Callithrix jacchus: one gene and its partners. The protein of the gene in region 1 purifies or fractionates together with the protein of each later gene. This does not show direct contact. Links are inferred from orthologs where the notes say so. Each region holds a gene or a part of one and is shown in the gene's direction. Other genes may lie near its edges.

Evidence for each region. The genes of interacting proteins can lie anywhere in the genome.
Region 2: the proteins of CLSTN1 (region 1) and APBA2 purify together in Homo sapiens (affinity purification with western blotting; 3 studies listed by BioGRID and IntAct, with this or other methods). This does not show direct contact. The link is inferred for Callithrix jacchus from reciprocal best matches to the Homo sapiens genes CLSTN1 and APBA2.
Region 3: the proteins of CLSTN1 (region 1) and KLC1 purify together in Homo sapiens (co-immunoprecipitation; 3 studies listed by BioGRID and IntAct, with this or other methods). This does not show direct contact. The link is inferred for Callithrix jacchus from reciprocal best matches to the Homo sapiens genes CLSTN1 and KLC1.

What each region holds. Positions count from the first base shown.
Region 1 is NC_133508.1:47,685,547-47,690,203, reverse strand, and holds the start of CLSTN1 (calsyntenin-1), read left to right. Parts: upstream 1-1,672; 5' UTR 1,673-1,903; coding exon 1,904-1,994; intron 1,995-4,657. Other genes in the region: uncharacterized protein LOC144576928, read right to left, coding at 942-1,248, 1,443-1,603. UniProt on the Homo sapiens protein: Postsynaptic adhesion molecule that binds to presynaptic neurexins to mediate both excitatory and inhibitory synapse formation.
Region 2 is NC_133507.1:7,394,115-7,398,113, forward strand, and holds part of APBA2 (amyloid-beta A4 precursor protein-binding family A member 2), read left to right. Parts: exon of another isoform or gene 1-889; coding exon 890-1,102; exon of another isoform or gene 1,103-2,498; coding exon 2,499-2,618; exon of another isoform or gene 2,619-2,746; intron 2,747-3,999. UniProt on the Homo sapiens protein: Putative function in synaptic vesicle exocytosis by binding to STXBP1, an essential component of the synaptic vesicle exocytotic machinery. May modulate processing of the amyloid-beta precursor protein (APP) and hence formation of APP-beta.
Region 3 is NC_133509.1:138,479,755-138,483,753, forward strand, and holds part of KLC1 (kinesin light chain 1), read left to right. Parts: intron 1-3,186; coding exon 3,187-3,295; intron 3,296-3,999. UniProt on the Homo sapiens protein: Kinesin is a microtubule-associated force-producing protein that may play a role in organelle transport. The light chain may function in coupling of cargo to the heavy chain or in the modulation of its ATPase activity.

The sequences.
Region 1 (4,657 bases):
GTGCGGGGCAGGAAGGTGGATTCTAGACTGCTTTTGAAGCCTTCCCCAGGTTACATCACACCTCTGTCTCCAGCCCTTCCAGGTCTTCCTGTTGGTATGATCAAGTCCATCCCCACAATCTGGCCTCAATCTACGTTTTTGGGCTCTTTGCCCACTACTCTCCTAAATCAGTCCTCTGTGCCCCACAAACCAGTCTCCACCACCCCCACCTAGAGCAAAGACATTCATGGATAGCTCTTCCAGCAGTCTCGAAAAATGAACATTTTAGTGTTCAACTTTTTGCCGTTGGTGTCCATCTACTGTGAACATCCTGACCTTGAGGGCTGATTCTTTCCACAATAGTTGTCCCAACGAGGGAAGTCATTTCACCTTTCTGACTTAGTTTCCTCATCTGCAAAATGGAGCCAATAGTGTCTCATAGGGTACAGTGCCGGCACACACGCCCTTCCACTACTGTTCCAGGCCTTTCCTCCACTGTGGAGAGTGCCAGGGGTCCTGCAGAGGAGGAGGAGGGGACCCCAGGACACTGGGAAAATGGGAGGACCCTCAGATCCCTGTAGGGATCCACGGTAGATGGGGAGAGCTTCTTTGTCCTCTCTCTCTCTTTTTTTTTTTTTTTTGAGACCGAGTTTCACTCTTGTTGCCCAGGCTGGAGTGCAGTGGTACCATCTCGGCTGACTGCAACCTCTGCCTCCGGGTTCAAGTGATTCTCGTGCCTCAGACTCATAAGTAGCTGGGATTACAGGCAAGCATCGCCACACCCGGCTAATTTTTGCATTATTAGTAGAGACGGGGTTTCTCCATGTTGGCCAGGCTGGTCTCGAACTCCCAACCTCAGGTGATCCGCCTGCCTCAGCCTCCCAAAGTGCTGGGATTACAGGCGTGAGCCACCTCTTTGTCCTCTGTATCCATACGGACCCCCGCATTTCTAAGAACCAGCATCACAGTATGTCACTGAGAAAGAGCGCACATAACAGCCGCCTTTGGAAAGTCACAAAGATTTCTTCAGTGAATTCTGGACAGATTCTCTGGGGGCAGGATCCAGGGCAGGAGCCGGGGCGGCTCGTGCTGCGCGGCCCTTGACTGTTTGCCAGGCGCAGTTCGCTGGCCTCGTCTCCTGGACCCCCTTTCGCGACCCCTCTCATCCCCTTACTGGGCAGAAGAGGACCCCGAGGTTCTGGGAGGCCACACGACCTGCCCGAAGTGACTCGGGCCCTGGGCCGCACTCGCCAGCCGCGGTCTGCGCTCCTGGGGGAGAGAGTGGGAAGGATGAGTCCTCGGTGTGGAGGAGGAGGCGCGGCCCCAGGGTACCGCTCGCCTGGCCTCAGGAGCCCGGGAGTGAGCGCGGGGATGCGGAGATGAGGCTCTCGGGCGGCGGCCGGGGAAAGGGGTGCCGACCCCCGGGCCCCACCGCGGGCCCCTCCCGGCCGCTTGGAACTCACCCCAGGCGCGTGCCCGCGGGTGCGCGCTCCAGACGGGGCCGACGGGCTCGGAGGCGCGCGCTCGTTCCCGGCTCCGCCGCGCGCGTTCCCTCCTCTCCCGCCCTTCCCGGGCCCGCGCGCTCCCGGGGTCCATCGCGCGCGCGCCTAGCGTCGCTCCCCATCCCCGCCCCTCCCGCCGCCACCCCGCCCCCGGCCGGGTACCCTTGCCGGACCCGAGAGAGAGCGCCGCCGCCATCTTAGTTGCTGCCGCTGCCTCCAGCAAGGCGCTTCTCCGAGGCGGGGAGGGCGGCGCGACCCGAGCGCGCGGCCCAGCGTCACGGCGGCGGCGGCGGCTCCTCCTCGGACCCCGGAGCTCGCCGCGCCACAGAGCAGCCGACCCTGGGCCCCGAGAGTCTTGAGAGCCCCGAGAGCCCCGCTGGGCGTCCCGCGCGCCTCCCTGCCGCTCCCGCCCCGGGCCGGCGATGCTGCGCCGCCCCGCGCCCGCGCTGGCCCCGGCCGCCCGGTTGCTGCTGGTCGGGCTGCTGTGCGGCGGCGGGGTCTGGGCCGGGCGAGGTAAGCCCCGGGGCCGGGCCAGTGCAGGATTCGGGTATGGGTGCGGGGATTCTGGTCCGGGTGCGGGAGTCGGGCCAGATGCTGGGATTCCAGCCGGGATGCGGGGTGTCGGGTCCGACCACAGGGAGTCGGGTCGGAGAGTGGGGTTCAGGTTGGGGGTCGGGCGCGCGGGGCCGGGCGCAGGAGATTGTGGGCACGCGCTGGGGGCGCCCCGGCGAAGCCAGGCTGGGTCTCGGGCGGGGCACCTGGGCCTGGGCAGCCCCCACTGCAGCCCATGGTGATGGCTTCACTGATTTGAAGGGACGTGGAGACGGGCCGAAGGGTCAGTCCGCCCTGCTCTGCGGCGCCCGCAGCTGGGGCTGCACCCCTGGTGAGAGGCTGTGTGTACGTCTGCGCTGTGCTCAGATGTGCATCAGGCGGGGGGTACACGCACAGTTTTGGTGTGTGCTTACATAAGAGCCCACTCCTCCGCATCCCGTTTCCAAGATCCTGATTCTCTGCTGCTGCACCGCGGACACCACGACTTCGCCGCTTTCCGCCTCCTTCCAGGGTCCTTTAGACGTTGTCTGTTTCCAGTGGAGCCGAGGCTGAAACTTACTGCTTCCCTCCCACCTTTTCACCCAAAGGTGAAATCGTGTTGAGATTTGTGACCGCGGGCTCACCCAGTGTTAGAAATCTCCGTCTCTGCTACCCCTGGTGCCTTGGTGCAGTTTTTCTGTCCGTCGTTTAGACCATGGAGGGTTAGATGTCCTCTACGGAAACGAGAAACCCCTCTGGTTCTTTAGGATTGTAGGACCGAAATCATTTTATGGCTCGGGGGAAAGTAATATTTCTTGGGTAGTTTATTATTAGCTTTTAACCTTCATCCACTTAACCTTTAAAACCTTGCATGCTCTCTGATATTGACTGGTCTTGCCAACGAAAAGCTTACGCATTGCAGATACAGTATTTGCTTCTGAGTGGATCTTGAAATCGTAAACATTTTCCTTGGCGTTAGAGCAAAGTGATCTAGGTGTAGTCTGTAGAATCTGCTGTAGGTTTTAATCTGTTGTTTTGATTTTTTTTTTTTAATGAAAAGAAATTTTGGGGAGGATCGATAGAAATCTAGATGAAATGGTCATATTTGAATTTAGCAAGCTTTTACAAAATTCTTATTTTCGCTTCCCTGGCGAGACATAAGGAGAGAAGTATGGTGTTCACGAATTACAGGGCAGAGGCGGCAAATGCATCTTTTGTTCCATGCTTCTTTCTCCACATCGAAGATGATAAACTTTGAATACTACTTTTATTTCATTTCTAAACATTCTGTTGACTCTGTCTTGTTCAGATCTGTTACTAAGTATCTCATTGTTGGCCATTTGAGTTTAAAAAGTAACATCAAGTTAAGTTTGAAATGTTCTTTCCAGATGTGGGTTGGAGGTCTGAAAGTCTAATATATCCAAGAGAAATGTCAAAGTTTTGCTTCTCTTGGGGAAAACCCACACATTTCAAAAATATGTGCTTGGATTGGGTATTTTGGGAACAGTTTAAATATATTTAGTCAGTGATAACATTGCTTGTTAAAATCGGTGCTTTCTTAAATAGCACCTACATTTGTTAGTCATTATTTAATTACTTCGGTTACTTAAACAGCATACATTTCAGCTTTGAGGGTCTTCCTTACCCGAAACCTACAGAAATCTTGTGTGAAAGATGTGTTGACTACTTGAGTCATTTGTAATTTGCTTTCTCTAAGTTTTTCTTGGTGCAGTTACAGTACTTCAAGATTCTTGTCTTAAGAATAAAGACATTTACACATCAGTTATTTGGTTGCATTTTTTTTTTCCAGGTTTCAAGTAAGAAAATGTCTTGGAATTATACGAAATGCTTCTAAAAACAATTTCATTTTGAAATATAAGTGAATTTCCTATGTAAAATTTACAATTTGTGGAGACACTTTATTTGGGCTTAAGAGATGATCATTTCAACTAATATCTGAAGTTTTTTACTGCTGTAAGGCAGTACGACATGAACTCCTGTTCATACTCTAGCTACCTTTAATAATGTTAATATTAGATTACGTACAGACTGCTGGAGAAAATGATAGATTTTCTAATATAAATTGCGTCTTGAGTATTTTATAGAGATTCCCAAATTTCACTTTAATTGTAGCTATGGTTCTCAACATTGAGTAGAGCCAGATGCAGTGGCTCCTGCCTGTAATCCCAGCACTTTGGGAGGCTGAGGAGGGTGGATCACCTGAGGGCATGAGTTCAAGACCAGCCTGGCCAACATGGTGAAACCCTGCCTCTACTAAAAATATAAAAATTTGCTGGGCATGCTGGCAGGCGCCTGTAATCCCACCTACTTGGGAGGCTGAGGCAGGAGAATTTCTTGAACCTGGGAGGTGGAGGTTGCAGTGAGTCAAGACTGTGCCACTGCACTCCAGCCTGGGTGACAGAGCAAGACTTTGTCTTAAAAAAAAAAAAAAAAAAGAGTGGGCGGGAGGCGGTGGCTCGCGCCTGTAATCCTAGCAGTTTGGGAGGCCGAGGCTTGTGGATCACGAGGTCAAGAGATTGAGACCCTCCTGGTCAACATGGTGAAACCCCGTCACTACTAAAAATACAAAAAATTAGCTGGGCATGGTGGTGCATGCCTGTAATCCCAGCTACTCAGGAGGCTGA
Region 2 (3,999 bases), on another chromosome or scaffold:
CCGGGCTCCTTGCCTTCCCATGAGACTCCAGTGCAGCTCTGAATGTGCACCTCGCTCCTGCCTTCCAGCTGAGCACTTGCGTGTGAAATGAGGTGTTTGTAACAAAGAAGCTGATTACAGTCAGCTTTAATGACCTTGAAAATATGCCTTTTAATGCTGCTATTATCATCAGCTAGTGCTCAGCACCCAGGAGATAGTTCTGAAAGGCATGTGGGATCTCTAAGGGAGCGTGGGTGCTCTAGCAGGGGAGGCTGGAAGCTGCCAGCAGCAGAGGTGTAGTTGGTCCCAGTGGCTTCCCCTAGGTGTCTTTGGAAAGTTCTTATGGGACAGAGGAGCAAATACCCTGAGGATGGCCCATAGCTTAACTGTTTGTTGAACGGCTGAATGATTCTGTCTGCTGTGGATGAGTGGATGACGGCCTCTGCTGCTTGTTGAATGAGTGAATGCATGATCCGGGCTTCTTGCTGAAGGCATGCCAGCCAGTTCCTGTAGAAGGACTTTTCCAACAAGAGTGAAGGCGGGAGGCGGGGGCAAGACATGGGTGCTGGAGTCATAACGTTCCTCTGGCCTCGTGGGTATGGTGGGATGGGAGGAGCAGGAGCCAGGACACTGGAGCCCTGCTTGGGGCAGGACGGTCAGTGCTGGGCATGGTGGGGATGGGGTCCGTACTTCCAGGTTCCCAGGAGGGTGTGGGAGCCAGAGTGGGGTGAGGCTGGAGGTGGGTGGGCAGGGCTCCCAGCCCAAGACCTCTCCTGGCTGAGATGAGCCGGCCTTGGATCCCAGGGCAGGGTGGGATGTGCTGGGACAGGGTCAGCCTTGTCCTCCCATGGGTCCTTGGCAGAGGCCCTGGCCCCGCTGCCAGCCCCTCATACTGCCGATCCCTTTGCAGCTGCAGCTGGAGAAGCACAAGGGCGAGATCCTGGGCGTTGTGGTGGTGGAGTCAGGCTGGGGCTCCATCCTGCCCACGGTGATCCTGGCCAACATGATGAATGGCGGCCCAGCCGCCCGCTCAGGGAAGCTGAGCATCGGGGACCAGATCATGTCCATCAATGGCACCAGCCTGGTGGGGCTGCCCCTCGCCACCTGCCAAGGCATCATCAAGGTGGGTGCCCTGGGACCCTCTGCCCAGGGGTTGCCTCAGCCTCACCTCACTTGATCTGCAAACCCCCACTTCACTCATGGGGAAACTGAGGCCCAGGGAGACCCACCCAGTGAATGGTTGATGATAGCATCAAAATTTGAACTCAAGACCATTCTCCATGTCTGAATCAGAGGTGGACCCAGGCGGCCCCGGGGCAGGAAGGGAGGGCTTGTCTGAGCCCTCTGCTGAGCCATATGGCCCTGGGCAGGGACCCAAGGACCAGTGAGTTTGGGGTGACCAGCTTATCCTGTTCTGCCTGGGACTTCCCTAGATTATCACTGAAAGTCCCTTCAGTGCTCTTGGGTTGAGTGCCGGGACACAGGTTTCCTTAAGTAAGAAGGCCACCCTGATTATCAGACTCACGAGCTTGCAGCTTTGGGGGCTGACCGCCTGTTGCTGTGAGGGGTCAGGCAGAAGGGTCACTGGCAGGTGGGGTGGGGCTTTCACTGGCTGCCCACAGAGGAGTGGGCTCTGCCTGCTGCTGGCAGCTCCTGTGAGCCACCATGGCCTGACCCCCAGCCCTGAAGGTAGGGAGGCATGTTCCTCCCTACCCTGCTGTGGTCTTGGTGCTGGAGGAAACGCCTTCCTCCTCTCTGTTCAGACTGAGAGATGGAAGGGCATTCCCTAGGCCAGAGCATCCCATGGACCGGCTCTCAGAGCTGGCCTGGCAGAGCTTCTGCCTGATGGGCAGCCACACAGAGGCACGGGAGAGGCCTCTGCCAGCGGCATCAGAGGGCTCAGCGCCAAGCACCACCTGCCGAGGGCTAGAACTCCCAGGTGGAGGCTTGGGCTCCTCTCCTCCCTGTGCCTCCTCACCCCCTCCGGACCCCAGCAGCCTGGGGCACCCACTGATAGTTTCGTCCTCACTCACAGTTTCTTGTGGTCACCCCCTGCCCTGCAGGTCCGTCCTTGGAAGGCACGGGGCTTTGAGGAAAGTGTCCCACATCCTAATGTAGGAAGATCTCCTGAATGTGGATGATCATGGCCCGCCTGAGCACCCTGAGGGTGACCTGGTGCCAGGTGTGTTGGTTGTGCCCACTGGCACTCAGAGCCTGGCCTTGCTCCCACAGCAGCTCATCTTCCTCAGGGCAGAGGCACCCTGAGCATGGTGGGACAGAGGGCGCACAATGTCACCCTGGAAACCTGGCAGCCCTCCTAAGGGCCAGGGCAGGGCTCGCCACCCCCACCACCACCCCCGCCCCCCGCAGAGAGGGGCCACTGAGGCTGAGAGGGGACTGTGTGTCTCGCCCAGAGTGTGTTCTCACCGCCCCGGCCTCCACCCTGCCAGCCTCACTCCTCTTGGGTCGGGCTTGACGTCTGAGGCCCAGCCTGTGACTCCTGTCCCCGTGCTCTGCAGGGCCTGAAGAACCAGACGCAGGTGAAGCTCAACATCGTCAGCTGTCCCCCGGTCACCACAGTCCTCATCAAGCGACCAGACCTCAAGTACCAGCTGGGCTTCAGTGTGCAGAATGGCATTGTGAGTTCCTGTTTCTGCCCTGGGCCACCATCACCGCTACAGGGGTCAGGGAGGGGAAGCAGCTCCTGTCTGATGGGGCAGGACCCAGGCCACCAGGGCACACACTTTCCACGACTCTCTGGGAGGTCCTGGGTAGAAGGGGAAGACCAGGGCATGGCCATGGATTGGGTCCTCCAGCCTTTCCAGGTGCCTTTGGAGGGAGGGCAGCAGGCTTTGCCAGCCACTGTAGCTTGGACATAGCCAATCGTGGCTTCACTCACTGTGCTCAACAAACATGTTCACTCATTCATTCAGCAGACATTTGTGAAGTACCTGACCAAGCTTTGTGCCAGGCACTGGGGAGGCAGGAGTGCTGCCCGGAGGAGGTGATGCTGGGTTTGAGTGTGGTTTTGCCCAAAAACCTGTGCCAGTTCCCCGGGCCAAAGCTGTTTAGCCCAGAGTTGGCACCCTGTCTCTGACCTGCATTTGGGGCCTGGACCATTCTTTCCTTTGTTTTTCCTCCTGCAAAGGACCCAGAGGGCAGAGATATGGCCACTGAATGGAGTGAAAAAGAAAAGGGCTGGCAATACCCAAATTGTTTAACCAGCCCTGAGTATGAAGGAGCCCAGGAGGAGAGAGACTGAGGACTGGGGGCAGTGTCGTGGAGGTGACAGGAAGGGGTGTGTGCCCCCCGCAGCCATGGAGGAGACAGTGGGAGAACATTGCAAGAAGACAGGCACCAGGTCTCCTCCATCGTTTCCTGGTGAAGCGGTGTGGAGGGCGCCCCCACCATCTGGGTGGAGTCACAGGGCTTGGGTTTAGGCTCCGTTTCTGACCCTGCTGCATTAGAGCAGATTGGCTGCTATAAAAAGTCCCGTGAATCTCTATACACTGAAAGCATATTGCTAATGTGCAGTGGGGAAGGCGGGGCTGGGGCACAGAGAGGTACAGTGGCTGGCATAGCTTGCTGCTTTGGCAGCCCCCACTGGGTGCTCTGTGTCTGGCTGGCACTGCAGGAAGAGAGGCAGCCCAGAAGACCTCGTGAAGGTTTTCAGGGCCAGGGCGGAAGTGACCCTTGTCATTTCTGCCCACTGCTAACAGCCCACAGGCCAGATAGCTCAGCCATGGACCCACGGGGAGTCTGGGAAGGGAGAGCTACCCAGTGCTGAGGACCAAGAGGGACAGGGCATCGGCCAGTGTCAGCCATGCCTTTCCTGCTGTGTGACCCTCGGCAAGTCACTTGTGCTCACTGGATTCCCCTCAAAAGGTGCTTGTGAAGATCAGCTGAGAAAATCCGTAAAGTAGCGCAGGCTATCCAAGGTGGGCCCGAGGGTCCTATTCCCTGCCAAGGAGGAAGCCTTGTGGCCCCTGGACCTGGCACAGGTGCTGGGACAAGTCGTGT
Region 3 (3,999 bases), on another chromosome or scaffold:
CTTTTATTTTATTTTTTTGTTTATTTTTGAGAAGGTGTTTCGCTCTTGTTGCCCAGGCTGCGAGTGCAATGGTACAATCTCAGCTCACTGCAACCTCTGCCTCCCGGGTTCAAGCGATTCTCCTGCCTCAGCCTCCTGAGTAGCTGGGATTACAGGCATGTGCCAGCATGCCCGGCAAATTTTGTATTTTTACTAGAGGAGACGGGGTTTCTCCATGTTGGTCAGGCTGGTTGTGAACTTCCGACCTCAGGTGATCCACCCGCCTTGGCCTCCCAAAGTGTCGGGATTATAGGCATGAGCCACCACGCCTGGCCCTTAATTTTTTTTTTTAGAACAATTCTTTATTCACCACTATTGCCCAACCCCGGTCTTCCCAAGTAGGGAAACTAACATTTATGAAACAACTAATACATACCTACACTTCACAAAAACAATAGTCCTTCCAGAATGCTATCAAATATCACTGCCACTTTAAAGATGAGGACACTGAACATTAGAAAGGATATGCAACTTGAGCAAATGCCAGTCAGCTAAAATAGTTAGGCTAATTTTCAATCCAGAACTATCTTATGTATATCAGATATATCTGTATCTAAGATAAATGGGAATCTTCTCTGAACCCTGGGGAGAGATAAGAACGAGCATTTTAAAAAGGTTCACTTAAGAGACAGGATTTTACCATAACAGCACTGAAACTTTATAACTCTTATTTTTCCTGATTGCTTAAAAAGGGTGCCATGGTCAGGAATTTTCTTTGATACGGTTTCATAATTATATTCACTTTCTCTCCATTCTGAGACTTTTCTATAAGAATATTCACTTTAAGGCTGGGCGTGGTGGCGCAAGCCTGTAATCCCAGCACTTTGGGAGGTCGAGGCGGGTGGATCACGAGGTCAAGAGATCGAGACCATCCTGGTCAACATGTGAAACCCCGTCTCTACTAAATATACAAAAAATTAGCTGGGCACAGTGGCGCGTGCCTGTAATCCCAGCTACTCAGGAGGCTGAGGCAGGAGAATTGCCTGAACCCAGGAGGCGGAGGTTGCGGTGAGCCGAGATCGCGCCATTGCACTCCAGCCTGGGTAACAACAGTGAAACTCCGTCTCAAAAAAAAAGATTCTTTCCTTGAGTCTTTCCTCTGTAAGTTCTCTCCCTCAGATCATGTGTTCCTGGTGATCTTTAATTTGCATCTGTTCCCTCTCATTTATCTGCTTTCTTCTCTGTGTGTTCTGGATGCCATGCCCTTCTGTATGATTTCTGATAATTTTGTTTCATTAGGGGAGTCATAGTACTTGTCCAAATGATTTGTTCTTAACTTCTCTTGCCTGTGCTGTTTGATGTATGTGCCTTCCTGTGTGTTTCATCTGTCAGGTTCCTTCAGTGCTTTGGGTTGTTTTCCTTTCCATTTTTTTCTTGATTTCATTGCCTGTCTCTTCTAATCATTTCCACTCTTCTTTTATTATAATAAAACTCCGCTTTGGCAAGCTAATAGTCAAGAGAAAGAGCTTGCTCCCTACAGAGCATTTTATACTCCTCTTGCTATTTCTGAGTTACCAGTTGTCTTCCTGCTGTTGTATGCACACCACCCAGATCCAAGATCTTTTTCTCCAGTGGAGACTGCTGACCTGCATCAATCCAAGGATGTTTAGATGATGTAGCCCAGGCCAGTCCCTTCCAAGTGCGGTGAACTGTCCCCAAAGCACACGAGGCTGGTTGTGCTCTGCAGAAAGCCCATACTCGCCAGCGGGACCCAAGGAACACTAGAACATCCCAGAACATTCAGCTTTGTTTTTAACTACTGTGCAGCTGCAAAAGGGAAATACTGGCTCAGGACCGGGGAGTTGTAGTTCTCTAATCCAAAGAAATCAGTATTTGGCCAAGTACAGTTTTCAGGGGGATACCCCCCGCGACTGGGTTTCTGCAGGGTGTGAGACAAAGAGAATGAATACCGCAGGATGGGTACTGGTGGGAAAATTAGCTGGAAGCGCAACCTTGGTTACCAGTTTGGTGCTCAACATCTCATTACCAGGGTGAGAGTGGAGCCACAATCTGCCTTCGAGAGGTCGGGTTCCATCTCTCTACTTTTATTTAATGGCAAAACCATACAGCAAACTCATGGCAAGCATGCCAGCAGGTCTGGGAAAGCCAGCCCGTTACATGCAGCAGTGGGGACACAGATCCATACACACTCCTTTTCCTCACGGCCCTTGGAGCCTTGTCCTCTGCAAAGGGAAGTGTAGGCTCCTCTGCAGCCAGCCCGAGAGCCTTGCGTCTTGAGCCTGAGCCTGTGCAGACTGGCCTCTGTGATGGCTGCTGTCCCTGGGTCTGAGTGGCTGTCTTTCCACCCTTAACTTTCCTTATCCTTTAAGGCTCAGCCTACCATTCATCTCTTTTCAGAAAACTCTCTGAACCCTCTCCAGGGCTCCCCTAGCACTTGTCATAGATTAATTGTTTTAGAGACATAGAAGATAGCTTCTGTATTTCTATATCCAAAATGCCTATTGTAAGAAAGGGAAAAGAAATCTCTCAAAGTACTTATCTATGCTAAACTGAATCTACATTTATTTATAATTTTTTTTAGTAAGTCTTCTCCATCAAGAATGCAGAAACATCAAGCCCAATGATACAGTTTGAAAAATAAGAGAACACAGAAACATAGCTGTCCTCTCTGCCATCTGCTATGGATTGCTTCCCTGGTACATGAAGCATTTATTCTCTGCCCTCACTGCCCACTGATAGGGACATTCTGCTTTGCTCTATTCTCCCCCGTACTTGTGGGGAGATGGGAGCATGTGAGCAGCAACAGTCAAAGCACCGTTCCTCATTGCAGAACCGGCGCAGACCAAGCTCTGTCTCCAGGGAAAGCGTTCTGATTACCATACAGACCTAGCCACACATTTCTGTTGACAGAGTGGCCAGTGGTCTGTGAGAGCCACCTCAGCCTGGATGGAGTGTGGTGTTAGCCTGGCCTGCGGAGGCCTTTTACGGGAAGGGCCAGGTCATGGGAAGCAGAGCTGCTTGAGATGGAAGAACTCTTTAGAATTTTATAGTTCCAAAAAAGTATGAGAGAGTTAAAATATATTCAAGCCAAAACATCAGCCTTTTAGTCCTCTAGATTATGTGCCATTGGTAGTGCTTGTTCCAAAGCTGATATGTAATAGTTCTGTGTCGTGTGCTTTCTTACAGTCCAACTGTTACAACCACTCTGAAAAACCTCGGGGCACTTTATAGACGTCAAGGCAAATTTGAAGCTGCAGAAACATTAGAAGAAGCTGCCATGAGGTCTCGCAAACAGGTCAGTCATACGTGTGTCCTTAAGCAGCCCATGGGAACTCTGAGTTAATGGTTCTCATTTACATGACTTTTATTGAAAACTTGATTTAGAATAGAAAATGTCAGATATTTTAGTTTGAACAAATAAAGTTATACTGTTTAAAAGAGCATGAGGCGGGACACAGTGGCTCACACCTGTAACCCTAGCACTTTGGGAGGCCGAGGTGGATGGATCACCTGAGGTCAGGAGATCGAGACCATCCTGGCCAACATGATGAAACCCTGTCTCTACTAAAAATACAAAAATAAGTTAGGCATTGTGATGGGCACCTGTAGTCCCAGCTACGTGGAAGGCCGAGACAGGAGAATCACTTGAACCCAGGAGGTAGAGGGTGCAGGCAGCCGAGACTGCACCACTGAACTCCAGCCTGGGTGCCAGAGTGAGACTCCATCTCAAAAAATAAAAGTAAAAAAAAAATCGTAATCCCAGCACTGTGGGAGGCCAAGGTGGGGAAATTGCCTGAGGTCAGGAGTTCCAGACCAGCCTGGTTAGCATGGCAAAATACCATCTCTACTAAAAATACAAAAATTAGCCGGGTGCAGTGTTGCACACCTGTAGTCCAGCTACTCGGGAGGCTAAGGCAGGAGAGTTGCTTGAACCTGGGAGGCAGAGGTTGCCATGAGCTGAGATTGCACCACTGCACTCCAGCCTGGGTGACAGAGTGA